Xenopus tropicalis: one gene and its partners. The protein of the gene in region 3 interacts with the protein of the main gene of each other region in a biochemical or structural test. Links are inferred from orthologs where the notes say so. Each region holds a gene or a part of one and is shown on either strand. Other genes may lie near its edges.

The links.
Region 1: the proteins of nck1 (region 3) and lcp2 form a complex in vitro, tested with the Homo sapiens proteins (2 studies listed by BioGRID and IntAct, with this or other methods). The link is inferred for Xenopus tropicalis from reciprocal best matches to the Homo sapiens genes NCK1 and LCP2.
Region 2: the proteins of nck1 (region 3) and sos1 form a complex in vitro, tested with the Homo sapiens proteins (2 studies listed by BioGRID). The link is inferred for Xenopus tropicalis from reciprocal best matches to the Homo sapiens genes NCK1 and SOS1.
Region 4: the proteins of nck1 (region 3) and faslg form a complex in vitro, tested with the Homo sapiens proteins (2 studies listed by BioGRID and IntAct, with this or other methods). The link is inferred for Xenopus tropicalis from reciprocal best matches to the Homo sapiens genes NCK1 and FASLG.
Region 5: the proteins of nck1 (region 3) and map4k1 form a complex in vitro, tested with the Homo sapiens proteins (2 studies listed by BioGRID, with this or other methods). The link is inferred for Xenopus tropicalis from reciprocal best matches to the Homo sapiens genes NCK1 and MAP4K1.
Region 6: the proteins of nck1 (region 3) and khdrbs1 form a complex in vitro, tested with the Homo sapiens proteins (3 studies listed by BioGRID, with this or other methods). The link is inferred for Xenopus tropicalis from reciprocal best matches to the Homo sapiens genes NCK1 and KHDRBS1.
Region 7: the proteins of nck1 (region 3) and erbb3 form a complex in vitro, tested with the Homo sapiens proteins (2 studies listed by BioGRID and IntAct, with this or other methods). The link is inferred for Xenopus tropicalis from reciprocal best matches to the Homo sapiens genes NCK1 and ERBB3.

Annotation. Positions count from the first base shown.
Region 1 is NC_030679.2:32,309,771-32,314,011, forward strand, and holds the start of lcp2 (lymphocyte cytosolic protein 2), read left to right. Parts: upstream 1-1,441; 5' UTR 1,442-1,629; coding exon 1,630-1,707; intron 1,708-4,128; coding exon 4,129-4,191; intron 4,192-4,241. UniProt on the Homo sapiens protein: Adapter protein primarily involved in signaling pathways within T-cells, as well as other immune cells such as platelets, mast cells, and natural killer (NK) cells.
Region 2 is NC_030681.2:42,909,279-42,913,289, forward strand, and holds the start of sos1 (son of sevenless homolog 1), read left to right. Parts: upstream 1-1,211; 5' UTR 1,212-2,075; coding exon 2,076-2,180; intron 2,181-4,011.
Region 3 is NC_030681.2:132,192,638-132,196,902, reverse strand, and holds the start of nck1 (cytoplasmic protein NCK1), read left to right. Parts: upstream 1-1,465; 5' UTR 1,466-1,591; intron 1,592-4,265. UniProt on the Homo sapiens protein: Adapter protein which associates with tyrosine-phosphorylated growth factor receptors, such as KDR and PDGFRB, or their cellular substrates. Maintains low levels of EIF2S1 phosphorylation by promoting its dephosphorylation by PP1.
Region 4 is NC_030680.2:107,206,071-107,210,333, reverse strand, and holds the start of faslg (tumor necrosis factor ligand superfamily member 6), read left to right. Parts: upstream 1-1,463; 5' UTR 1,464-1,527; coding exon 1,528-1,791; intron 1,792-3,153; coding exon 3,154-3,199; intron 3,200-3,552; coding exon 3,553-3,609; intron 3,610-4,263. UniProt on the Homo sapiens protein: Cytokine that binds to TNFRSF6/FAS, a receptor that transduces the apoptotic signal into cells. Involved in cytotoxic T-cell-mediated apoptosis, natural killer cell-mediated apoptosis and in T-cell development.
Region 5 is NC_030684.2:80,455,411-80,459,417, reverse strand, and holds the start of map4k1 (mitogen-activated protein kinase kinase kinase kinase 1), read left to right. Parts: upstream 1-1,207; 5' UTR 1,208-1,288; coding exon 1,289-1,396; intron 1,397-4,007. UniProt on the Homo sapiens protein: Serine/threonine-protein kinase, which plays a role in the response to environmental stress. Appears to act upstream of the JUN N-terminal pathway.
Region 6 is NC_030678.2:86,525,397-86,528,316, forward strand, and holds part of khdrbs1 (KH domain-containing, RNA-binding, signal transduction-associated protein 1), read left to right. Parts: intron 1-751; coding exon 752-868; intron 869-1,485; coding exon 1,486-1,632; intron 1,633-2,121; coding exon 2,122-2,294; intron 2,295-2,626; coding exon 2,627-2,822; intron 2,823-2,920. UniProt on the Homo sapiens protein: Recruited and tyrosine phosphorylated by several receptor systems, for example the T-cell, leptin and insulin receptors. Once phosphorylated, functions as an adapter protein in signal transduction cascades by binding to SH2 and SH3 domain-containing proteins.
Region 7 is NC_030678.2:137,736,574-137,740,713, reverse strand, and holds the start of erbb3 (receptor tyrosine-protein kinase erbB-3), read left to right. Parts: upstream 1-1,340; 5' UTR 1,341-1,519; coding exon 1,520-1,601; intron 1,602-4,140. UniProt on the Homo sapiens protein: Tyrosine-protein kinase that plays an essential role as cell surface receptor for neuregulins.

The DNA of each region.
Region 1 (4,241 bases), on a different chromosome or scaffold from region 3:
AGCAATGTGCAATTCAAATTTGCAATGCAGTAACAGTCTAATGATCAATATTACATTGCAATATGTGAATTGTTATTCATATTTGTATGCATTTTTTTCCATTTAGGTCTTTTTTACATTCCCCCATTGAAGTATCCTTTTTGTAGAGCCAAAAAATTGATGTTGGTTATTCCTGTGAAGTTCTAGAACCTTGTAGTCAATGCCTTACGCCATGGGGCACAGGCCAGCCCTAAAGGTGGCCATACACGAGGCGATTTCGCTCGTTGTGCGATGAACGATTATATCGACAAACGATCGTATGGCGATCGAGTTCCCATACGATATGCCATCCACGGGCAACGATAATTCGGGAAAGATTTTGTCGCATCATTATCGTAAAATACCTACGATCGTACATCTACGTACGATCGATGTCGTTGCTGGCAATCGTGACATGCGCAGAGAACAATCGTTGAAAGACAAATGTCTGACACTCACACCAACTGGCAGATTTTATCGTTAAACGACCAAAATTTTTAAACCTGGCCGATCGATTTTGGGGACGATAATGTCGGCTCGTTTAGTGGGCCGACGATCGTTCGTACACCACCAACTATACGATAACTTAACGATAGCATCGGATCGTTCGCGAATCGGTCGTTTGTAAGTAAAAAATCGGTCCGTGTATGGCCACCTTAAGCCGCTCTTTACTTTGCAAGTTTGAATGATGTACAAATTAGAGGGTTGTGGGGGACAAGTGGGGGGACACCCACATGCCTCCCACCCCTCACCAATACAGTGCTGATTAACACAGTCACTAGTGGCGTAACTACCAGGGGAGCAATTTGCAAAGACCCCTTACTTCTATTTTATTAAATAAATGGATGTGGCCTCTTTGCTAAAATTCAGACGAGGGAATCCTGCTGGATTTGATCACATTTTCAAGATGTGGTGTCTATTCTGCAGGATATGTTATGCACCTCGGAGCTGTCTAACACCATTCTACTGTGTGGGGTATTAGAGCTAGGAAGTAGCACTGAGCTCTAACACCCCTCTAAACCTTTATTCTCAGATGCAACTCACAGACATGGATTATGCCTTTTTGTTACCTCAATAACTATATTATTTCGTACACAATTCCCAATAAATTGCATTTTTTCAATATAATCTGAATTGTAATTTCATGCCTAGTATTTAGGAATACAGTTCCAAAGTTAACAAACAATTAATAGAGAATTGTGTGCCATTAAATAAAGTATGCGCCATAAATTCCCTATTAATAGTGCTGTAAGGGAAGGAGTATGATTAATAATTGTTTTGTTTATTTTTTTTAATGTAGCTACAGCTTAACACCATAAACGAGTCTCATTTGAGGAAGTGGTACAGGAAGTCAGTTGCCTTTTTCTGAGAAGCGAACGTTCACACCAAGGGGAAGTTGCATTTTCAAAAGATGATTCAGTGTAACTGAATGGCAAAAGCTGCATTGTGTATTGTGTCTGTATTGTTTAACTAAAGCAGGCACTGACTACAAATTTCACAGGAATAGACAACATCTTTAAACTTCTTGGCTTGGCCAAAGGGATACTGTGAAGGCAACTGACTAATATGAAACAACCTGTTCTGTAAAAAAAAAGAAAGAAGAGAAAAAACATGGATTTCCGAAGCATCCCTTCATGTTCCGAAGTCAGCTGTTGGAGCCCTGAAGCTCTCATTGAATATTTTAGAGCTGTAAGTACTGTTATATAAAACTATATATATACTGTATGTATTCTGCTGTTATACATTTTACACACACACACACAGCTCATAAGAGCTAAGAACTTTCTGCAGTAGCGGTATCAAGTGGTTCCTATAGAAGTCAACAGGAGGTGGTGAGACTCTGTTTAATGCCAGTAACAACACAGTATTTAGAACCTGTTTTTAGAACCTTAGAATGCAAGCAGGAATGTTTAATGATACGCATTTTGTAGCTGTTATTATCTAAGAAAAGAAAAAGTATATATTTTTTAGTATATTTCTACCACTTGCATTCTAAGATTTGTACATAAAATAAACATATTTATTTTCAGTAATAAATACTTTTTTCAGTAGTTTCCTTTTCAGAACTAAGTTGTGTTTTCAGTTTCCAACTCTCCTAAATATTGTGAGACCTTGATAGAAGGGACCCATTTATTTTGTTCTTGGCTTCTAGCCTCTTATTGACAGAATTGTTTATTGGACTTTTTGTCTCTGCCTAGCTATAGTCCTTCTTACCCCATATGCAATTTGTCTGCTGAAATACAGACACAGCTCATTTTATCTAGATGTTTCACACATTGTGGCATGAACCATATTGTACCATTTGTGCCATATAAGCTCTGTGATGCCACAATGTTTGCTCCATCTGAATGAGCCAGTTTAACCCTTGCCATGTGTTAGCATTCAGGCTAGACTTGTGCCATGCAAAATAAAAGTAATGCTGCACCTCTCTGAGCTCAAATTTGGAACTTTTTGGAATACTGTAGCCTTTTTACTGCTGCTCACTAATGTTTTGTGTCCCCTATGTCCTTTACTGGCTGTACTTCCACCTTTTATTTCCCTGCTGTTTCTTACCTTCGCTTATGTTTGACAAAATGCTTTAAAGGCCTTATAATGGTTTGGCAACAACGTCAAATGTTGAATGTGTCTCTGTTTTACATGAGAGAGGTTTTGCATGTAGTGAGCTATAAATTACCCCCGTTCCCTGTTATTTTTTACTTAATGTTTAAAACAGTTGGATTCTAAATGGGGGGCCTACAGCACAACTGAAGCCTGAATATCAGCTGGCAAAGTAGTTTCTTTATATAAACTCAGTTAGAACCCTGGAATGAAATGTGCAAATTGGCAAGTGAAGGGTGGCAGGTCACTATATTTAAATGCAGACACAACTCTTTTAAAATTGTGTTGTTACTGGGCTTTAAATTAATGTAGTCTCATGCACAAGTCATTAAAAAATGTTACATTATTTTAGAGGTATGGGATCCATTATCCAGAAACCCGTTATCCAAAAAACTCAGTATTATGGGAAGGCCCATTTTAAAACATATTTCCTTCTTTCTGTAATAATAAAACAGTACCTTGTACTTCATCCCAGCTAAGAAATAATTACGCCTTATAGGAGGCAAAACAATCCTATTGAGTTTATTTAATGTTTAAATGTTTTTTTTAATAGACTTAAGGTATGGAATTCCAAATTACGGAAAGATCCCTTATCTAATAACCCCCAGGTGACATTCATTCTGGATAACAGGTCCCATTTCTACTTGTTTTGCTAGCAGCCTATGGAATAACATATTCAGTAACACATTGCCATTAACAGCAATGAAATAGATATCTTGTAGCTTGGCAGTGTTGTCCACTACATATTCAACACCTGTGGTCAGTGGTTAATGTGGTTCCATAGTGGGTATCTTAATGCACACACATACCCACACGCAAACAACATTTGCATTGACTATATAGACCAAAGAATAATACTAATGTAGCATCAATGCTAGTCTACAAGCAATATCTCAAATGCTATCAATGCTTTGTCAAATCATTTACTTTTTTCTCCTGTAGATCAGTAAATTATAAAATATTTTTTAGCAAACTTACTACTACAGTAAAAACTCAATTTTACATACCCTGATTTAAAGTTTTTCCTTATTTATACCCTTTTTTTGTGGTTCGACCATTATATAGTGCATAAAGCATTTTCCTGATTTTATACTATTTTTTTGGTCCCCTGAAAAATGTAAAATGGGGGTTCTGCTGTATATATAAAAGTCTCTCTATGCATCCATCATTTACTCCTTAATATTAATGTGTCATGTATAAACAGGAGAGATTTAAGGATTTTTTGTGAATGAGATAATTATATTTAAATCTATGCTTTCCTAATTTGCTTTGGTATTATTACCTCAACACCATAAAATCTATATGAAGTCAGCAGAAAGCCATTTTATAGAATACAGTATATCATATGAATACCCATACATTGTTATAAACCGTTATTTGTGTCATTATCAGGTATAATCAGTTCTTAAGTTCTTAATGAGTTGGTTACTCTATGTCTATGTAATGAAAATGTAATTAATTTGTGTGTGTGTTTTTTTTTTAAATGCCTTTATGTTTGTTTCCTTTTAAAAGCACAACCTTCGTGATTGTGAAAAGTTGGTCAAAAAGCAAGGCATTACCGGAAAGAGATTTTTGGTAAGAATTTGATTCCATGGTTAATGCACTGGTCTTTTTAAGGCAGTACA
Region 2 (4,011 bases), about 89 Mb from region 3:
AAGGGGAGCTTCCATTATCGGCCCTCCACCATATATGACGGAAAAATTCCAGCCCTTGGTACCACAGAAGTTGGACAGCACTGCATTAGTTGATACATTTCTCAGCAGTATCTGTGCAATGTTAGCAACTCTTAACTCAGAAATTATGCTCCGCAGGGCCAAATGTAAGAAATGTAATAACTAATGTATGAAATTAGAGTAGTGTATAGTGACCTCTTCCCAGAGGATTTTTAGAGAGATGAGAAGATGAAAAATTACACTTTGAACTTCAATATTAGAAAACCGGTCAAAAATAAAAAAAAATGGCAACTGAAAAGTTTTTATATCTGGTGTACTATCTGAAAACAAATAAACTGAAAAAAGTAGATACACTGTTTACTGGTCAAAAAGGACTTTTAGGGCAAAAAAACAAAAAAAAGTAAAAAGAAATTGATGTGTGTATCAAGGTAGGTTTAAAAGAAAGATTACTAAAGCAGTCTTCTTAGGCCCCTAACAAATAAATACATTTATTTACTAATGTTTTGGGGTCCTAAATTTAATTTACTGTGGGGCCCAGTAACATGTAGTTACACTACTGGGTTGGTGTCTCCTCTCATGGGGCTATACACTTAGAGCCATCCTTAAAGCATAGCAAAAAACGAGAGCTACATAGTGCCTATATATTAGATTTATAATTTAAAAAAAAATGCACCCAGTCTCTGCCCGCAGATTTCCTTAGGAAATCTGGTGATAGAGCTGGGGGCAGGTTTAGAGGTACAGGGTCAGGACACTGCGGAACTGATATCACGCGCAAGCTGCATGTGGGTGGAGGATGGGGCAGTGGAGGAGCTCAGACTGGGGTTGGGTGGCCCCCTGAGGTGGCAGCCCCAGTGAGCCCCAGACACATCAGTCTGACACTGTACACAGTTTTAAAAACTAACAAGATGCTTTACAAGGAACAAATATCAGAACTATCCCTGCAAATTAGGGGTTTGTGGTAAGTAAACTTGACATAAATTGAAAAATCAAGAGAATGAAGCAAAAAATGTATAAGGTTTCCCCAATACTGCAGGTTTATATGAAAATACATTGAATGTATTGAGCAGCATATTTGTATGCAGTACGCTGATCAAAGGTATAGTACCATAATAATAAAGCTATTTGAAAAAAAAAAAAGTGGTGCGCTTGTGGCTAAATCAGGCGTAGGCGGAGTTAAGGTCGGTGGTCACATGACGGCGGCAGGCAGCCCTTCTGTCGCCCCCTAGATTGCGCGCAGTCGCAATACAAGTCTGTTCCAACGGCCGCTGAGCGCTGCTGTCTGGCGAGAGTGTGGGGGGAATAAACTAACAACAAAAATAATAACAAAGTGACGCATCAAGAGTCCTCTTGCGCCATCATTACCACAGGCTGGGTCGAGCTGCTAAGGGAAAGAGAAGTCGGCCGTAAACAAGGAGGGGCGGCGAAGGAGCAGACAACAGGGAGGGGAACCGGGGTGTCTTTTTTTATCCAGTGACGCCCGTCCAGACCCCCGTTTTCTGGATGCTCAAGGAGAACGCTGCGCCACTGGAGCTTCCCAGTCTGCCTTTGTTATTAGCAGAGAGACGGGGCGGCGCGCTGGCAGCTCCTGTGTGGGCCCGGGAGGGCAGAGCAGCCCCTGAATCGCACCTCCATCCGCGGCCTCCTAGCTCACCCCGGAATTAAGAGAGGTCGGGACTAGGAGTAAGCAAGTGCGTGCCTCCGGCCTAGTCCCACCCATCTCCTATGTATACACACAGCTGTCATATATGTACAGGCAGCTGTCAAGTGCAAGCGGTGTCCATGAGCCGCCCCCCTCCTTCTCTTTCTCCCAAAGGGGAAATGTGCGCCCTATGCTGCCCCGTTTAAGGGGCAACTTCTTCAACTTCCCCACCCTTATGGATCATTTGTTGCCTTAAAGCCGGCATCTGCTCATTTGGAAGGCGGTGGAGTTTATCTGGCGGGGCGGGGGAGCATAAGTGGCACCCCCACTTGAAGGACCCAGTCTCCTTACCTGGCAGGCGCCTTTCTCCCCCACCTGGCATTGTGAGGATTAGGATAATCCGCCCCCAGCTCTACAAATGCCGAGGGAAGCCGTCATGCAGGCCCCACAGTTTCAGTACGACTTCTTCAGTGAGGAGAACTCCCCCAAATGGAAGGGTCTGCTGGTTGGTGCCCTGAAAAAGGTAAGAGGGGTTACAACATGGATGTTCAACCTGTGACAAACCAGTCTATTTCTGCAACACCCAGAGGCCACAGGCTGTTTTGTTACATGGAACCTTAAAAAACTCTGCCTATAAACTTTCCAATATAATTCAGCTACACATTTTCAATGGTTTTAATGTTATTTGTAAATGTAATTGCTATTGAAAAGTAAAACTCTGCTTGACCTTTTGTATACCAAGGCCTGTCTTTTTAAACAATGTAGCAGAAGGCAGCTAATTAACAGACCTCCAAATAATCATGCTTCTGCTACATAGTATCAAGAGATGGTACAAAAATACAGTTTTCAGTTGCAATTGCATGCACAAATACATTTAAAACCAATCATTTCATTTTAATGAATTGCATGTTGGTAAGTTTCTTAAAATTTTCATTCATTAGATAGCATTGTATTTGTGGGTTTTAAGTCCCCTTTTACATAAAAGTCAAATGACTACAGCTGTCCCCTGTCACTGGCCTTATTCACACTCCACACTAATTAAATGGATATGTATAATGGAACTTAGCTGGTCCAACTAGTCAGAAATGAAATCTCGGTCCTCTTTATGGCTGTGATATTTAGATGTCTGTTAAAACCAAGGCCAGATCTGATTTTAAGTACTGCAAGGGGCAAAAGTAGGTGTCAACTATGATCCTTTCCCACAGGTTCAAGGGTTTGTTCACTTTTTTTTCAGCACAGACATTTTCAGATGCAACAAGGCTTTTTTTTTTTTTTCAATTGCCTTCTATTTATTATTTCTAATGTATATTTTTCTAAAATTGAAGTTTAAACTTTAATGGTACTGTCTCTTGTGTTTGGCAGCTCAGCAATCCAGGTGCAGACCCTGAACTGTTACATTTTGCTACATTAGTTGATACATTTATCAGCAGCAGCTGTGGAATGTTAGCTGCTTTTAATAAAACTCCAGCATTATACTCAGCAGAGTCCAAGATAAGAAATGTAGTAACTGACATATCAAATTAGAACAGGTTACAGTGTCTGTGACTCCACCCTCTCCCAGAGCTGTTTTAAAGCAATATTAGAATACCAATCACAAATACAAATTAAAAAGCAATTGAATAAAATTATTGCTGGTGTCTGGAAGGTGAACAATGCCATAACGGTCACATTACTGTACATCTTATGAAAAACTTGTATAAAAAAAAATATACACCTAATTTTTATGTTGCTAGTGTAATACTCATTACAATAAAAGGTCTGCACATGCATGCAACCCAGACCAACAGAAAGTGATCCTTGGGAAAGTTTGGCAAAATGGCATTGCAATGCTCACTGGAATAGTACCTGGGCTGCCACGTTTTTCAGCCAAGAAGAGTTCTGGCTCAGGGTCTGAGGATATCAGTTAGAATCACTGGGGAGTGTACCCCTCAATGTTTAAATTTTAGACCTCCTCTAAGTGTTTTGAAAATGAAAAATTGAGTGAGTCATGTCAGACAGGTTTAGTAAAGGGAAACTTAGTAAATTATTATTTTTTTATGAATTTATATTTTTTTTTTCTCTGCAATGTAAACATATGTCTATTTTCTAAAATCACAGGTCCAAGCCCAACAACCAAATGTATATACATGTATTTGCTAGGTTCTTATTGTCATATTTAATCAGTCTTTTATTTCTGTTCAGCCATTCTTCTGTTTGTCTTCTATTCTGTCATTTAGGCCAATTCTTGACTTTTATGGATTTGGATCAATGATTCTAGCAATCTGGTGACAGACTAGTTTTAGCAGTTGAAATGACAGACTAGAGAGCTCCTGAACAAAAAATGTGAAATAGTAAAGAAAAAAAATTCAGATATT
Region 3 (4,265 bases):
GCTATTATACCCCCACTGCTACTATAGGCACCATCTCTCCCTACTATACCTGCTATCCCACAGCCCCAGTCCCTTCCCAGAGGCTGTGGAATGCCCTTCCTAGTGATGTGGTAATGGCAGACTCTGTTAATGCCTTTAAGAGGGGCCTGGATGAGTTTTTGAACAAGCAGAATATCCAAGGCTATTGTGATACTAATATCTACAGTTAGTATTACTGGTTGTATATATATAGTTTATGTATGTGAGTGTATAGATTGGTTAGTATAGGTTGTGTGCTGGGTTTACTCGGATGGGTTGAACTTGATGGACAATGGTCTTTTTTCAACCCTATGTAACTATGTAATTATCCCACTGCTACTATAGGCACCATCTCTCCCTACTATACCTGCTATCCCACAGCCACAGTCCCTTCCCAGAGGATATTATCCCACTGCTACTATAGGCACCATCTCTCCCTACTATACCTGCTATCCCACAGCCACAGTCCCTTCCCAGAGGCTATTATCCCCACTGCTACTATAGGCACCATCTCCCACTACTATACCTGCTATCCCACAGCCACAGTCCCTTCCCAGAGGCTATTATCCCACTGCTACTATAGGCACCATCTCTCCCTACTATACCTGCTATCCCACAGCCACAGTCCCTTCCCAGAGGCTATTATTCCCCCACTGCTACTATAGGCTCACTACTATACCTGCTATCCCTTCCCAGTAAGTACCACACCTAATACACCAACATTTGCTGAAGACTAAAGCCCTTAATACCATACCAATACCAGCATCATTTCACCCTATGTTACCTGTTATAGCGTACCACAGGCTATTGCTAATAGAGCTGCTAGTTGCAGAGAAAGCAGGCTGTGAGCATGCGCATATGGGGAGGCTTCCCGGCCGTCCCACCCCTCTGCAGACCCTACCATATGCCAGCGCTTAGGGGGGCGACCCCTGTTTTCAGCTTTTGTGCCCCAAGCTACGCGCAAAACCCCGAAAATCACACTGAAACATGTTAATTATGAAATATCATTTGCATAATCTACGCATGCGCATCTCCCTCTGTTCATGACGTCAGTAAATTTCTCAAGTAAGAAAAGGAATACAAATCGATGCCCTCCAGCGGGACGTGAGATGACAAGTCACAAATACTGTCGTACAGACTGTCCAGGTTGGAACTCTCAGATTCTTAGCCTTGCCTTATTTTTCCTGAAATGAAACTAAAAGCGCCGAAGCGGAGCAGCATATTAGGGTAACAATGACCTAACGCCGGCAGTACGGCACAAGCGTTACCCTTGCGCCTGCGCAATGGGTATATTCGCCGTCAGTACATTTTTTTTCTTTGTAGTGGGCGTGGCCGCAGGGTGGAAGTATGACGACGCTTGGTTTGTGGCAAGGAAAAGAGCAGCGTTGCTTGTACGCGGGCGTGGCTAGGAGTGGTGGGCGGAGCTAGGTGGTTTCTGATGCCTGGCCGGAGAGGTAGAAGCTCTAGGCGGTTGGAATCTCTGTGAGGTCCGTGTTGGTGAGGTGTGTGCTGGGGCACATGGTGCCAGGCTCCGGGGCGCGCTTTCTCTACCCAGCTCCGCTGCCTGTCTCAGGTGAGCTTCCTTGGCTTGTCAGGGCGTTCTGAGAGGAAGTTACGGTGGGTTGTATGTCGGGGTGGGAGGGGGTCGTGGGAAAGGGAGAGGCCTGCTGGGGAGCTGAGTATCATTCCCATGACTGGCTGTGGAGACCTGGAATGTCATATTCGATTGTCTCCAAGCTGCTACGTTGTGCAGCTTCCCAGCATCCTCAGCTAGGGCACTATTGCAAGATAACCCTGCTTAGCTTATCATTTGTATTTCAGGGCTCTTGCTGAACCACAGCACCCACATTTCTCACTTCCTTAGGTGATGCTTAGAGTATAAGGAGTGGGATACACCTTAATCCCCCATAGCCTATCATAACCTTTTCTGAAAATACATTCTGACTGTTCTTTTCATTGATAAACAAAACAAAAAACTCCATATTTTCTTAGTCTAAGCAACTCCCTCTCTTTAACCCTTTGTTGCAACTGTTTTGGGGATACTTATAAACAGATGCCCAAGCTACAGAGGGTACAACTGTGCTCTCATAATCTTATTATCTACCTTACAAGAACCAGGAAGTTAGAATCATGGAGTCGCTTCAGTTGCTCTGTTTGCCCAATTTAGTTAAAGCAATAACAAACACCATCGATATGTTTTAATTAAAACAATAGACAAAAAGTATGTTTGGCACAAACCCTCTTTATTGCACTCATGTTAGGCAAGGAGTATACTCCTTTAAGTAGCTGCAGGCTTGCATGTTGGGAATCCCAGTTATGAAGAATAAACATGCATATTCTCTACTGCATTAACTATGTTTTATTATACAGATGCCTCACACTGTTTTCCTTATAGGCCTAGCCATTGATTCCCTACTAAATATTAATTAATGAAACTCGTTAGGCTGTGAACTGAAGCAGCACCAAGTGGAGTTGCATGGGGCTACTGCAGCTTAGTCAAATGTTTTCACTTTAGTTGTTGGCGTTTTAGTGATTGTGGTATGAACCCTGCATCCATGTGCATGACTGTGGGAACCCCAGCCTGGGTCTCTGAAACCCATTCATCCTCCTCATTTGTTAGGGATCCACAGAAGAACAACAGCAAGGCAGCTACAAGCTAAATATCTTGTTCTGCACACTGGCCCTTGTGGGGCTATGGCTTGTAGTAGATAGATACTAGATGAGTTGCCATGCTATGAAAGCTGTTAGGGCAATGGTACATGGGGCACTGGTGAGTAGAATTGGAAATCATGTGTTCTGCATAGCACTCCCAGTGGTCTATGAGCCATTGATCTTACATGACATTTATACCTATAACTTCTTACAGTTTTATTACAAAAGAATATCTTAATTGAAAATGGATTTTTACTTTCCTTACTTAGGAATCTGGACCAGCTCCTTTTCTCCTTCTGTGTTGCCCAGTCATTTAAGGCAGTTCATTCAGCAGACATGGGTCAATCTACATCCATGCATTGGTGCTGACTCAAATAGATCCACATGCCTCCTTTTCTCTGGCCAAGTGGCTTAGAAGGGGAGGGATCATAGGCTCATTTACTGGACAGACCAGTGGCTGTTTAGTCACTTAAGTCATTAAATGTCTCTTAATTGAAAGAGCAGTTTTCCACGGGGAGCCATTTTTTCATCGGATGCACCAGTCTTTGTGGTTGCATGAAGCAGGAAGCACTGTTGCAGTGCAACTGAATTACACAGCAGAAAGCAGCTTGTAAAGGAAGTTTGTGTGAGTGTGCGAGGAGGGGTGTTGTTTCGGTTGACTTTAAATCATGTATAATTTGAACGTGGAAATTGGCAAATTTCTTTTGAACACACTTGTGTTTTTAGCTAAAATATTCCTCAACCAGGAAGGCTAAAAACAAATGGTCAAAATTAATAAACATACAGTCGTAGCCATTACGGTATATTTTCATGAGTCAAAAGATATTGTAAGAGACAGTGAAAACAAGGCCAGACAGTAACGGTTGTGGGTGTATGAGTAGAAAGGAAGGAAAGTAATGGTCAGTATGACAACAAGAGAATGAGTGACTGTGACAGGATGTATATACAAGCTCATACTGACCCCATAGATAATACAGCAAACTATGGATCAGAGTGGCTTGATTCTATTCATTCTTCATAGTTTGGGCTGAACTACACAACGGTCAACAAAGCACATAATCCAAATAGTTCCACTTGTCCATAAATAATGCTACTGATAGTAAAAGTAGAGTCTGTTAACTACGTTAAAGTTGTCATCTGACACAATCCGGCTGTCAAAAGCTTCCAACCTATAGCAGCTAGTCTAATAGTCTAGTCCAGTGCTGTCCAACTGGCGGCCCGCGGGCCGCATGCGGCCCGCGGCCCCCCTCTGTGTGGCCCCCCACCTGTCTGGCTGCTTTGATGGCTTACCTTTGTGTAAGCTTTAAATGGTATCAGAACTGTAATTAACTGCCCCCCCCCCCTGCATGGTTCTCACCTCAGATTCAGGCTGTAATCAGGCTGTATTGTTTAAATATGTAATCCCCTGTACTGTTCACACCTTTTAATCTCTGCATTGTTCACCCCCTGCAGTGTTCACACCTCAGGCTCAGGCTGTAATCACACCCATTGTTCACTTCTTCACACCTCAGGAGCAGTAGAAACCCACAAATAATCCCTGCATACTACAAAAAGAACATATACTGAGGTGGTACTGCAATTAAAAAGTTTTTTAA
Region 4 (4,263 bases), on a different chromosome or scaffold from region 3:
TTTCTTTCTTGCCCCCTTATTATGTTTTTGGTATTATATTGTTAACTGTTGTTTAATGAGCTTTAGTAGATCTTTCATAAATATAAACCACTGTGCTAAAACCTACTGTACTTTTTATTTTGGTTTGCTTTATTAGGGCCCTTTGACCTTTATGGGCCATAGTTTGTTATGCTCCCAGGGATACCTGGTGCTACCCTGGGTTGGTGCAGGCTCAGTACCGGGATTTTTCTGACTTTACTGTATTATGCATGTCAACTGTCAACCTAGGGATCCCTGGAAGAATGAAATAAGATGGTAACTGTCATATAAAGGAGTAATTTTAGAGGAGTCCTTTAAGTGCCATGACTATGGACTGAGCATTGTCTTGCTTTGCCTCTGCTTAGCTGAGTAAGTGACCATTTTCATCATATCATATATGCTGTGACTGTAATGTATTTTTTTTTTTCAGACACAACTGGCTTTTAACTGTACTTTTTATTGTCATTCTCTAGAAGGGACAAGTTGTAGCTATGAAGGAAGCCACATAAGGTCCATTTTCATAGCGGATAACTAAAGACTACAGCAGCCCCTCTTGTATACCTTTGGTATAAATAGATTGAGCATTGGGCTATACAAAACCTACTGAGACACCAGCATGACTCAGGGATGCTTTGGCCATCAGGCTAGGTAAACAGCAAGGAACAGCTAATAGCTACCATGGAACACTTGTAACTTTAAGATCCAATGCCTCTTTCAAACAGACTGACAATGCTTCTAACTACTGAAAAGCATTATAATCTCCAGCAGTAGCAAGAGGCAAACCTCCAGTCAGGAATGGCTACCTTCCGTCCAACATATGTACCTACCAGGCCCTCCACAGTGGCAATGGGGAGTTATTTGTGGTTAGGCATTGGGCTAACACTTGACAGCTGGGCTCTGCCCCCTTAGGCAGCAGAATTGCCCAGAATGCACCTGTTATTATTACCAAGTCATATACAGTTATATACATATTAACTTATTGAGTAGCAAAATCACACCCACTTCAGAAAGAGATTTGTCCTGAGAACATGGTGGTTTGTTTTATATTCACTGTAAAATATCACTTTGGTTGCACAGTGGGCTGAGAGTAGACCGGTGCTTGGCATATAGAAACTACTTGCAGAGGTCCTCGGCTTATAGAAACAGTTAACCGTGACCCTTTGTGCAATGTCAACCCCAACATTCCTTTTTAAAACCTTTACTATATTTTTTAAAAATACTATGATTTATTAAAAGCACCCTGATCCCTATGCTTTGCTAGTCCATACACTCTCTGAATGACCAAGTAAGAGAATGCTGTAGCATTTTGAATCACACTCTGTTCCACTTTTGAACTATGAAGAGAGGAAGAAAGGGGGTGGAAGAGGGTGGTGTGAATTAGCAGCTAGAATCTATAAATGTACTTACACATGAAACAACCACAGTTTTTTCCTTCAGCAGCTAAAACTACAGCACAATACAAAGACATCAGCAGCACATTACGTTGATTTCAGATTGACAAATCCCATTATGCAGCAAGATATGAGATACGCACAGCCTTCAGTTTTTTGGACGGATCCATGTAGAACCCCACCATTGCCACCATTGCCACCAAACCAAGTCAATATGCCTCTACCACCCCCATTCCCGGACTTCAGGAGAAAACGACGTAAAGATGGCACTTGTACTTACTTGCTGATCATGTTCCTTCTGATTTTGCTAGCACTTTTTGGTGTTGGTCTTGGCACCTATAAAATCATCGAGTTGCAAAAGGAACTGGACAACGTTAAGGAGGTACATAACATATTAATTTTAGATTTTTTCTTTATTTTAACCTAACCAACCTAAGTAACTTGCCAGTGTTTTATCTGGCAGCATAGAAAAGCTTTATAATGATATTTCTGACCAAGCTAGGGTTGCTCATTGGTGGCCCTTAAACAGTGATCCAATGCAGACAAATTTCTGGTGGTTCCTCTGTATGCACAGAAAGCTGATTGACTCCGCTGTCCCAGTGTCATGGTTATCTGCTGTACTTCATGGCAGGGCTTTCAGTGGAAGGGCATAAATTACTTGAAAAACCTTTGGTTCTCTCCACATCACCATTTAAAAATGATGGTACCCTTAAATTTGTCATAGAAATAATAATGCAGCTTGGTTTTACAATAAGATATTTTTCAATAATATCACTATAATAGTTTAGTGGTCTATAGAATTCCATTAATTCATGAGAATAGGAAAACTGTGATTACTTTTTTTTATATAATTAACAAATCCCTGGGCAAGTACAGGCATGGGACCCATTATCCAGAATGCTTGGGACCTGGGGTTTTCCGGATAAGGGGTCTTTCCGTAATTCGGATCTCCTACCTTAAATTTGCTAACAAAAAAAAAATTAAACTGTAGTTAAACCCACTAGGATTGTTTTGGCTCCAATAAGGATTAATTATATGTTAGTTGGGATCAAGTACAAGGTACTGTTTTATTATTACAGAGAAAAAAAATAATTTTTAAAAATGTGAATTATTTGATTAAAATGGAGTCTATGGGAAATGGCCTTTCCTTAATTCAGAACTTTCTGGATAATGGGTTTCTGGATAAGGGGTCTGATACCTGTACCTATGTACAGAATTTAAAAAACTTTAACTCCACTTCTTCTAAATGGTGCATTGAGGGATTTTAAAAATGTGCTTGTTCTAGAGCTAAAAAATTAGCTGTGTCGTGGATTGGTTTATATGTGGTATATATTAAAGTAACCATGAACTAAGAAAACCAATGCACCACCTTACTCCTGCTACTGTGTTTCTGTCTATCCAATTGCTTTGGAGGTGCACAGGACGAAGACAGGACCAAAGGTGTTTCTTGCTGCAATTAAAAAGCATATTTTTGGAGAGTATCCAATAGGAGGAGCTCCTGCTCCATGAAACTACTTTTTTCCCCAGACACACTGACATTAAAGCAGTTGGAATATCCATCACTGTTTCCTTTGAGCCCAAGCTTCACCCCTTGTCTAGTAATAGAAAAGAAAGCAACTTAGCAGCTGGAAATAAATAGTATAGTAGATAATGATTTCCATAGTTGCAGTTCATATGCAGATTTCATAAAGCTGATAATGATTTTTGGAAATGCAAATAATCTCCACAAACTTTTTCTTTCTAGATTTCTGGTGACCAGGCATTACCTCCTGCTTTGGAAAAATTAATTGGTGAGTTACAATATGTTTCTCTATAAAATAAAAGTGTGGCATATGCTATTTAGCAGAGTTTATATGGGAGTAAGTTCTAGAAGTGTTCTCCTTTAGCTGCTGCATTTGGTGAGCAACACTTGACGGTTACTTTGAGGTTGTGAAGTACTAATTTCTATTTCTTGCCTATGGCCAATGCAGGCAATTCATTTAACCAGTGTTGGAATGCTTGGTGCTACATCTAATAACTGTGAGCCTTCCTGCAACATCAACAACAATTGGCCTTGGTCTACCTAGCATTTCTCTCACTTTGCACTTTGTGCTTAGGTTAGGACCATACTGGAAAATCAATTGAATGTTTGCTCTTTTTACAGGGTTGAACAAACACCCAACTGAGAAAAAAGAAAGTAGACTTGCTGCACATGTAACAGGTAGGTAATCATATGTGTTTTTAATGCATGAAGTATGGATTCTTAACTTACAAACCCTTGGACATAATAACTACACATGGTACCAGCCCAAGACCTCTGAGGGCCTTTCCCAGCTACTTTGCTGGGAACTCTTCAGTTGCATGTTACATCCTAATATGCAGTAGCACTCTTGCCTGTTGAAAAGGTTCTTCTGAAGTGGGAATAGAGGGGTAGGGGAATATGGTACTGGGTTCTTACAGGCTCAGGTACAACACTGTTGCAACATTGTCTACAGTCGCAGGTAGACTGGGCTTAATCTACAACTGTTTAACGGTGTTATTCAACATAAGCTCAAGAAATAAGGCTTGGCCAATTTTACCTTATAAATATATACTTTCTTGGTTCTGTCCAGTAAGGAGTAGGAAGTAAAGGAGTAGGTAGTAAAATAGATTACCAGTCCTCAGTAGAGGAGTAGGTAGTAAAACAGATTACCAGTCTATCTTTGCATAGAAAGATTATACAAACAAAGGCTGCAGATTAGTTATAGCTTCTGCCACACATGGCGGATTCTTGGCCTTCAGATAAACAAGGTTTATAATATTAAAAATAAGGAACATGGATTTTTAAAAAAAAAATAAATTTAAAACTAAACAGAAGTCCTATATATTATACTGA
Region 5 (4,007 bases), on a different chromosome or scaffold from region 3:
CCCCTGGAATGGGAGAGTCCTATAATTACCGCCTGCTTTTTACACCTTGTGGCAGATATTTAATCTGAGCAAGGTTCAAAGCATTGTTTGAATGCTACAGAAGGTTTTCTCCCCTTAGTCAGGCAAAATAAATTGTACTATGACTATTTAAATTTTATAAACCTCGTTTCCTTCAGTCTTGGAATTCACAATTACAGCAAAGCAGGCAGGTGTCATTTTGTGGGCACTGTTATTAAGACAAGCTTTGCATCATCCCAAAATGTTTTTTATACACCAAAATGGGGGAACTGATCCCCATGAACATACAGACGATACACAATTATAGACCATGAGTAGAGTGGGGGAATGTGAGGAGTGCAGTTATATCTAGAATGGAAAGTGAAAGTAACTGCCTGCCTCAATGCCTGGGGTATAGAGGTGGGGCAGGCAATATATGGTTGACAACTTAGATTTTCAAATAACTTTATAACAGGTATTTGATGTTTTAATTTAAAAAAAAAAAAAAAATGGGTTTAGTGTTTAATTTGGAATGTCTGGGTGACAGGTCCCCTTTAATGCTCCAGCACTTGCACCCATAACAGCTGTAACAGAGTACCAAAAGCAGTGTCTCTCACGCACCATAATGTAGTTCTGGTTCAGTCCGCCTCTCTAAGAAAAGAAACAAGAAAGGTCAGCATTGTAATCAGGAGAGAGGATGAGTAATGGCTGTGATCCTGTATAAGTTCTAACACAGTGATGGGGACCTGGGGTCTTTGCCTTGCTTAAAGCACCTCTGTTTCAGTGGTAAGGCAAGTTGAAAATTTATAACTTTTCTTTTTGAGTGGAGAGCCCAATAGCAAATTCTCCCCCTCCTGCCCTTCTTGGTGTGCTGGAGGCCAGCTTGATGGTTGGGTGGGAGATAGCAACACTGAAGCTGTATGTTCGGGCTTTTATAGCTAAATATTAACCACCTTGAAGTAAATAGATTTTATTAGAAGTGACCTGGTTAGTGGTGGATAATTTATTAGTGTAGCTGTACTTTCTGCTGCTTTTCCCAAAAGAACTGGAGGATAGGGGCGATATAATGTTTGTGACAGGGCGTGGCAGTCACCAGGATATGTGACTAAGGCAAGGAGCAGTAGCCTATGTGTGTGTGAAAAGGAGCAGGGGACCGGATGCTCACACACATCAAGTGTAAAGTGTTCAGCCTGTCAGGAAGCTACAACATTTATCAACACCAATCAATGTGAAGGCTGCAGCCTGTGCAGTCTTCCTGTGCTCATTCACTTGCACCCTGGCTGCCTGCAAGATGGATGTCCAGGGCCGTTTAACTTTAGATATATCGGACAGGGATCCTCAGGATGATTTTGAGCTAATCCAGAGACTTGGCAGTGGAAGCTACGGTGAAGTTTTTAAGGTAAAGGGGAATGTAAAATGTTACTAGGGTTTCTAGAAGAATTTGGGATGCTACTAGCCTGTATAAGAAAAGTGAATTTGTTTGAATAGTACATATGGTAATGCTGTATTTATCAAAACTTTAGGGATAATGGCTTTCTGGATAATTAACCTCAAACTATTTACATTGAACCATTTGCTATGTACATTTGGATAGGCCTCAGAAATTTGGATATGTAATGTATTGCTGCTTCATCATTTTAATCTGTCTTATTCTTCTATGGGTAATTGCATGCTGTATTACTTGCATGTTGAAAAAACATTAAAACTAAAATAAAATAATGAAAAAATATTTTGTTATGGTGGGTATACCGCATACCAGGGAGAATGCAGCTTAATCCTTCACCAATCCTTCCCTAAACTGCACCCAAAATGCTTGAAAGTCTGCGCCTCATGCTCACACAGGTCATGTCTAACTCTAGTTTCACCTCCAGCAGTGTTGCAGTTCTAGCTCTGTACTTGCCTTGCACTTGCTTTCTTGGTGAGTGGAACATATGACACTAGGTACCCTTTTGATGTATAGGGATATATTCTTAATTCAAATTGATATTGCTGTCTCGTAGTGCATATGCTATCACTGACTCCCTCTTTGGGAGTGCAGAAGTTCAAATGGAAAGTGGTTCTAGGACACTGAGGTAAGTAAGAGGCACAGATAGCTTCTCTGTGCTCTGTATAATACTATGTATCATAGTTTTAAATGTAGTATTGACAGTATCTCTTATTTAAAACCAGTTTGGCCTTTCTTTAAATAATGTCATTTTCACATGGGGGATAGTAGGTTAAGTGGTAAATTGGTTTACTGGAAATTGTTTCACATCTTATAATGTTTGCAAACATAAAGAGGGCTGTTTAATTGCTGACCCAGCAACACCATCATCTGTGTATCTTGGAGTCAGCTAAACAATGCCAGGCTTCATCTCGTACCTCCATTCTAACAGTGAAACCCTGTGCCTTTTTTGTGCCTCTCCCCCACCAACCCTGTCCATGCTGTGCATGCAGTTTTCTCAGAGCTTGCTTCCTGTGGTTCTCATCTAACAGGTGCACACACACAGAGCATCCTCTGGGCTTCCTGTAACTGTGCGCTCTGCTGCGCATACAGCTCTTCTCTTCCTTTGCAGGGCTTCAAATAATTAATGCTAATATGCTAATACCCTGCCTGCAAATAACCACCATTCATCACAGAAAGGACTGGTGGTACATAATGGAGTCTCAAAATGTGCGGTACAGTGACTAGATGGCTTATAACTTGGATAACACTAGATGCCATCCAGTCTGTATTTTAGCCTTGTGCTGAATATATCAAATGCCTTTTGCTTCAGTTACGAAAAATGTTATGTTTTTTATTATTTCCTGAGCTATACAGGACAAACAGGGAAATAATAGTTACTCCATGTTTGGTCTTTGTAAGGTAGATAATTATTTTATCAGTATTGCATCCCCTACCGGCTCCCTTTGTTGTGATGGTTTTTTTGTTTGTCCATTATGTAGAAGGATTATCTACTTCACAAGGACCAAACATGGGTCAGCTTCAGTTTCCTTGTTTAGCTTATGAAGTTACAAAAAACATTTTTTTTTTATGATTAAAACAGAATGCAAAAAGTGTGTTCAGGACAAGCCCTATTCCTTCAACTCATATTGAAAAATGGGGCATACTTTACAGGTACTTTACAGGTACTTTATCCTGTAATTTGTTCTGCATCACATTTATTTTGATGAATCATTTTTGGATGGCTGGTGCAGATTTATTATCTTAATTGTAAAAGATAGCTTTAAGATATTAGACTTAAAGGAGAAGGAAAGGTAAAAACTAAGCTTTATCAGAAAGGTCTATGTAAATACAGTCATAAGCACTTACAGTAATACTGCACTCTATCAAAAGAAACACAGGATTTTCTTTTTTATAAACATGATGTTCTAGTGTTTGACTTCCTCTCTCAGAAAGATCCTTAATTCCCGTGGCAAGAGTCTGCACAGTTCTCTCCTCGCTCCCCTCTCTTGCTCCCCCTTCCACTAGAATGCTAAGAACTCCCTCCCCCCTCCATTAGGAATGTGTGATCTGAGCTAGAGATGCAGGAAAGAAGCTACTTAAAATGGCAGCTGCTATCTTAAGCAAACGAAGAAAGCTTCTAAAGCTGTTTACTCAGGTTTAGTAATGGATTTTGCAGAATAAATATAGTGTTCTAGGTGGCACTAATGTGGCAAATCTATTGGCAGTAAAATGCCAAAATGACTTTCCTTCTCCTTTAATGCACAATAACAGGGAAAGTTGCAAAGTGCGAAAAAACAGATGCAAACTTTTTTGCACTTTTCACCATGTTTTCCTGGGATTTGTGCCTTATAAGCAAAGAGAACACAAAAATATGTGTCTACTGTGTCCAGTTCTGCATAGTGCATACTGTATAGGCAACAAATAGGTGGGATGTGGTTGTAATGTGCAAGGCAGATATGCCAGGGGTTGCCTGTGCCAGGTGCAGTCATTATGCATCTCTAAATTTGCTTGTGAAGTGTTATTTGAGAGGATTCAAATATTATGTATATAAAACAAATTGTTGTTACATAGCTTATTGCATTGT
Region 6 (2,920 bases), on a different chromosome or scaffold from region 3:
AACAATTGTAAAGCTTACATGAGAAGGTTGCCGCAACATACATTAAAGATTCCTGACCTGAACAAATCAACCAGTCACTCCAGTCTGATAACACTGTTGGGCTACATTCTACCACATGGCACCTTTGAACTAATTACATGTAAAGCCATTGAGGAAACTGTAGGGAAACTTTGCAATAAGTCTTTTTGCAGCAACTGGCTTAAAGATTGTTATGCAATGGTTGATCTTCAGTGGTCTGATGGCGTGTCGACCCTACACAGGGATGGCTCTGTTTTGTTGCTTTTTTGCAGCTTCGCTAAATGCCTTTATGTGCCGATGTGCTAAAATCAACCTGAAACAAACCTTCCAAGCAGATGGTTTGGGCAGAGTAGTCAAAATTGGGTTACGCTACTTGAGCATGTATAGCCAACTTAGGTCATCTTACATAGCTTCCTACCAGTCCACATAGGGACTGCAAATGGCCAATCACAGTCCATATTTGGTACCCCAGGTTCTTTTTGAATACTTGTGTTGATCTATAACAAGTTTTTAGATTGGAATTGTGGCTCAAGGATAAAAAAAATCTGGGGACCGTCGCTTTAGCTGTAACTTGTCTTTGTTGCTTTTAAGATTCTTCACTCACCCCATATGTGATTTAAAAAGCAAATTATTATGATTGCGAGTTAATAAATAACTTATATGTAAGTGAAGTGTGTAACTTGGGAAGTGTAAAGAAGCCTTTTGTAATCATCATTTTTACCCAATTTTGTAGTTTAACTTTGTTGGAAAGATCCTTGGACCACAGGGAAACACCATCAAAAGGTTACAGGAGGAGACTGGAGCAAAAATCTCTGTTCTTGGCAAGGGATCAATGAGAGATAAGGCAAAGGTAAGGGCTAAATTATTTATTTTTCCTGTTAAAGTGGACCTGTACTTTTCAAATTAAACATGAAACCCAAATTCATTTCTATATTAACACATTCAAACCCATTATAAAGGCATTAAAAAAGCTATCAATCAAATATTTCCTGCCCCGCCTTTATGCCTTAAGCATAGAGGCGGGGCAGACAAGTACTTAAACTTTCAATTCAGCTCTCACTTTTCCCCTCCCTCCTAACCATCTAATTGTGTAGCTAGTGCATGGGCATCTGGTCCCTCATTCTGGCACATACACAAAATTTTGGGGTGATACAAAGCAATTTGCAGTTGGTTTTCATTTTATATATATATAATTTTTTTTTTTTTAGTTCACGTTCAGCTGCTCTCCTGTTTTGTTTTTTTTATTTTTTTCAGTAAATTTTCAGTGGCTTTTATCAGCTATTTGTTTGCTGGGGTCCAAATTATCTTGGCAGCCAGGGAGTAATTTGAATGAGGGACTAATATATGGATAGGAAAGAGCATGAATAGAAAAGTTGTAAAAAGTAACAATAAAATTGTAGCCTCACAGACCAATAGTGTAATGTGTAAAAGGAAAACCCATAGTAATAATCATGTCATTGATTTCAGGAAGAAGAGCTGCGGAAAGGAGGGGACCCCAAATACAGCCATCTGAATATGGACCTTCATGTGTTCATAGAGGTCTTTGGACCACCATGTGAATCTTATACACGTATGGCACATGCAATGGAAGAAGTCAAGAAGTTCTTGGTTCCGGTATGTGTAATCAATTTTTTTTTGTAATGTAATTTGCTGTAAAAATATCCTAATCAAGTATTAGTTAAGTAAGTACTGAATAAAGTCAAAGGATTTTTTCTATAACTTTACTGTAAACTTTTAGGAATTGGCCAAAAGCAAAATGTGTGTAGTTTTTTTGCTGCTGTTTAAACAAGCACTGAAATTATTATAGATTTAGGAGAAAAGTCCACACTTTTTTGACTTCTGAAAAGTTTGTCTTCCGCTGGACCTTTTAAATTAGCTTATTGTAACCATATAGTGATAGTAAAGTTGTTGGCTCATTTTTCATTTTTATGTTATAAATGTAAAGAAGTAAACTGATGTCAATGGATGTGTGGTTAGGTGTTGATGGCTGTAATTAGAATATTGCATAGCAGGTAGAACACTAACTAACTTTTTTTTTTTTTGTTAATCTTCAAAACTACTCAGCAGCAAAGTCCTGAGTAAACAGTTTTCTTATTCTTTTAGCTGACACCTGAGTCTTTTTCATACCAGGACATGATGGATGATATCTGTCAGGAACAGTTTATGGAGCTATCTTATCTTAATGGAGCACCACCAGAGCAAAGCAGAGGTGGAACAAGAGGTGGACCATCCAGGGGCAGAGGGGGTCCACCACCTGCTGCAGCTCCTTCTTCTAGGTAATCTCTAAGGCAGCTAGCTGCTATGTTACTCCTTGCAGGAATCAAACTGTCAAACAAAACTAAAAATTGTTTAACCTGGGTCAGCCTCCAACCGAACTCTCACCTTTCCTTTTAGCATTCTTCAGTACTGTATAACCCTAGCTTTTCAAGCATTGCCAGTTGTGATATTCTGACTTACATTTGCTAAGGGTTACAGCAGAAGCTTTGCAAGTTTGTTACTTTTTGGTGTCACTCCCCCCTGTCAGCCCTTTTTCCCCCTTTAAGGTAAACTTTTGTATGCAAGATGTTCAGGGTTTTGGATGAGACTATGTACAAATTTATATTAACAGAGGCAGGGCTGGGCCTCTTCGCCCTCTTGTTCCAAGAGGTGCCCCCGGACGTGGAGCCATATCGCGTGGTGCTAGTGTGAGCCGCCCTGTACCCCCTTCCTCTGCTAGCCGAGGTGCACCCGCTGGAAGAGCCCGTGGTGCTGCTATCCAGAGAATCTCTCTTCCACCTCCTGCACCTGAAACATATGATGAATATGTAAGTGTCCTACAACATTTTTATTATTTAGTTTTGAGGACCTAGTCTATGTATGGGTTTGCAGACTGCTGTTGTCATTGAATACTGGAATGTTAAAC
Region 7 (4,140 bases), on a different chromosome or scaffold from region 3:
TAGCAACTATATGTCCTAGCTACTAAAATAGACAGTGCTTATCATCTACTGATAATTGTCTCTACGTGTGTTTTAGCAGAGGCAATTCTCAGTATTGTCTATAGCAAGGTATTTTCTGGTGTTCAGTAATGTGAAAAAGTAGCTTCTACTAGTAACTCAGTGTGTCTTCACCCTAAGACTTGTGAATTCCACTTTGCTTTGTGGTGCAGTTGCTGAAAAAATGTATGAAATTTTGGGTTGGGGGGAATCAGAACTTTAATCTCACAGTCATGATATATTCATGTGCCATTTCTATTCTACACATACACCTGGAAACCAAAACTGTCACAAAATTAGTTTCTACCTAGTCTGTGAACATATTTGATTAAAACTATAAAAAAAGCATATGTGAGAAAAGATCGTGTGTCATGTCAGGGACTCTTCAATGACGAAGAGCGGGTTCAGCTTTCCCTGCGCTAATCCCGGACCTGCCGCTAGGCGTCCCCGCTGATCTGTAGCCTTTGAACATGTTGTGGGCAGCGGTGGAACCTGTTCCTTACACTTGTTTCTTTTGATGCGATTGTTTACGCAATTTGTTCATTCTTTCTTAGCATTGTGGAAAAGTTTCGAAAGGTGTGTCTTAAAGGCACAGAGCAATGGCGTGAGACAACCTGTCTCTAGGTATCTGCTGGAAAACCAGCCCAAACGGAGTTACTGAGTTAACTAAGACCGTTTTAGAGACATGGCAGACTTTTCAGTGTCCAGTCATTGAGATTTAGTATTAGATTTAGTAATTTGTATTAATTAATTAGTTAATTAAACTAAACAAAGTGTTTTGGTAGTTTTATGGGTTGCACCCACTTAAGGGTCCAACATTTGGCCAGACTCCCCTTAATTCGTAGCAAGGTAACCTAAAATAACCTTTGAGGAATTCACTGACAAGAATATACAGCGATTAACTGACAGGACGTGAATATGTAGCATAGAAAGCGTTTGCCTAAGACTTAACCCTACATGAGCCTCAGCGTGTGCTTTCAGGGGTATCTAGAAGAGTTAATAGGCATTTCGCCCAATTTCACTCTAACTTGGCTTTAGGCTTGGTCCCGCAGCCATTCTTCTACGTCCCCTAGTGAAGCCAGACCCACAGTTTGGGACCCACTGAATTAGAGGTTTGGAAAAAGGATGTTCGAACTATTGCCCTTCAACTATGCAAGGCTGTGGGAATTCTGGGACTTGTAGTTTAAAAACAGCAGAAGCGCAGTAAGTTGCACTGTCACTGATTCACAGGTCTGATCGCAACCCATTTACCGGCTCTGGGCCAATCAGAGCGCGGGTGGGAGGGGCCTAATACAACTTTCTCTTGTGCGAGGAATGTGTGAGAGAAAAGCGCTGTCAGAGAGTGAGAGTCCCGGCTGCTAACCCTGCGTTCTGCCGTCCGAGCCCTATCGCACCCAGGATATTGTTATTGGCTTATTCCTCCCTGCCCGGGCCATGTGCCAGCTCACTGACTGACACCCAGCGGGACCCACAACTGCCAAGCATGGGGATCTTGCCGGGAGGATGGACTGCCCTGGTGCTGATCTGCTGCCTTGTGACTATGGAGCCAGTGACAAGCCAGAATGGTAAGTGTCACACCTGCCCACACCGACACCTGCAGCCTGAGCCTGGCGTGTAGCCGCTAAGCATAGTCCTAGGGGAGGGGGTGGGCACTGGCGGGCATTGGCACTAGACCTATTGGCACCGAATTTGTGGTAAGAAATCAGGCAGCAGGTTTCGTTACATCTGAAGCTGCAGTGATGCCAGTGATGCCCAGGTGGGAGTGAGGGAAAACTTTCATTGTGCGAGTTTGTTGCTGGGCAAGTGCAGCTCCTCGTTTCTATGCGGTACCCCCCCCCCCCCCCCCCCATCTGTGGCCTCGGAACGTGTGGCGGCCAGCGGCGGAACCTGTTCCTTCCACTTCTTCCCTTCTTCCTTTTCACTCGATTGTTTTCGCAATTTGTTCATTCTTCCTTAGCTTTGTGGAAAGGAGTTTCAGAAAGGTGTGTCTTAAAGGCACAGCTCCTTTTGTCATAGTGTACCTGCTGGAAAATCAGCGCAAAGTGCAGCATTGATTTATTAATGGCCATCTTAAAGGCACACAGGGCAGGTCTCACCCTGTACTCCTTCAGTTGTGATATTCAGCTCATGGAACTCAACATCTTTTGTATCTCAGAGATTGCTGGGTTTCTTGTTAAATCCCAACAGTTGAAGGTACCATCACACTCTCCTACTATACCTGCTATCCCACAGCCACAGTCCCTTCCCAGAGGCTATTATCCCACTGCTACTATAGGCACCATCTCTCCCTACTATACCTGCTATCCCACAGCCACAGTCCCTTCCCAGAGGCTATTATCCCCACTGCTACTATAGGCACCATCTCTCCCTACTATACCTGCTATCCCACAGCCACAGTCCCTTCCCAGAGGCTATTATCCCCCACTGCTACTATAGGCACCATCTCTCCCTACTATACCTGCTATCCCACAGCCACAGTCCCTTCCCAGAGGCTATTATCCCTACTGCTAATATAGGCACCATCTCTCCCTACTATACCTGCTATCCCACAGCCACAGTCCCTTCCCCGAGGCTATTATCCCCCACTGCTACTATAGGCACAAACTCTCCCTACTATACCTGCTATCCCACAGCCACAGTCCCTTCCCAGAGGCTATTATCCCCCCACTGCTACTATAGGCACCATCTCTACCTACTATATCTGCTATCCCACAGCCACAGTCCCTTCCCAGAGGCTATTATCCCCCCACTGCTACTATAGGCACCATCTCCCCCTACTATACCTGCTATCCCACAGCCACAGTCCCTTCCCAGAGGCTATTATCCCACTGCTACTATAGGCACCATCTCTACCTACTATACCTGCTATCCCACAGCCACAGTCCCTTCCCAGAGGCTATTATCCCCCACTGCTACTATAGGCACCATCTCTCCCTACTATACCTGCTATCCCACAGCCACAGTCCCTTCCCAGAGGCTATTATCCCCCACTGCTACTATAGGCACCATCTCTCCCTACTATACCTGCTATCCCACAGCCACAGTCCCTTCCCAGAGGCTATTATCCCCCACTGCTACTATAGGCACAAACTCTCCCTACTATACCTGCTATCCCACAGCCACAGTCCCTTCCCAGAGGCTATTAGCCCCCCACTGCTACTATAGGCACCATCTCTCCCTACTATACCTGCTATCCCACAGCCACAGTCCCTTCCCAGAGGCTATTATCCCCCCACTGCTACTATAGGCACCATCTCCCCCTACTATACCTGCTATCCCACAGCCACAGTCCCTTCCCAGAGGCTATTATCCCACTGCTACTATAGGCACCATCTCTACCTACTATACCTGCTATCCCACAGCCACAGTCCCTTCCCAGAGGCTATTATCCCCCCACTGCTACTATAGGCACCATCTCCCCCTACTATACCTGCTATCCCACAGCCACAGTCCCTTCCCAGAGGCTATTATCCCACTGCTACTACAGGCACCATCTCTCCCTACTATACCTATTATCCCACAGCCACAGTCCCTTCCCAGAGGCTATTATCCCACTGGTACTATAGGCACCATCTCTCCCTACTATACCTGCTATCCCACAGCCACAGTCCCTTCCCAGAGGCTATTATCCCACTGCTACTATAGGCACCATCTCTCCCTACTATACCCGCTATCCCACAGCCACAGTCCCTTCCCAGAGGCTATTATCCCACTGCTACTAAAGGCACCATCTCTCCCTACTATACCCGCTACCCCACAGCCACAGTCCCTTGCCAGAGGCTATTATCCCACTGCTACTACAGGCACCATCTCTCCCTACTATACCTGCTATCCCACAGCCACAGCCACAGTCCCTTCCCAGAGGCTATTATCCCACTGCTACTATAGGTACCATCTCTCCCTACTATACCTGCTGTACAACAGCCACAGACCCTTCCCAGAGGCTATTATCCCACTGTTACTATAGGCACAATCTCTCCCTACTATACCTGCTATCCCACAGCCACAGTCTCTTCCCAGAGGCTATTATCCCACTGCTACTATAGGCACCATCTTTCCCTACTATACCTGCTATCCCACAGCCACAGTCCCTTCCCAGAGGCT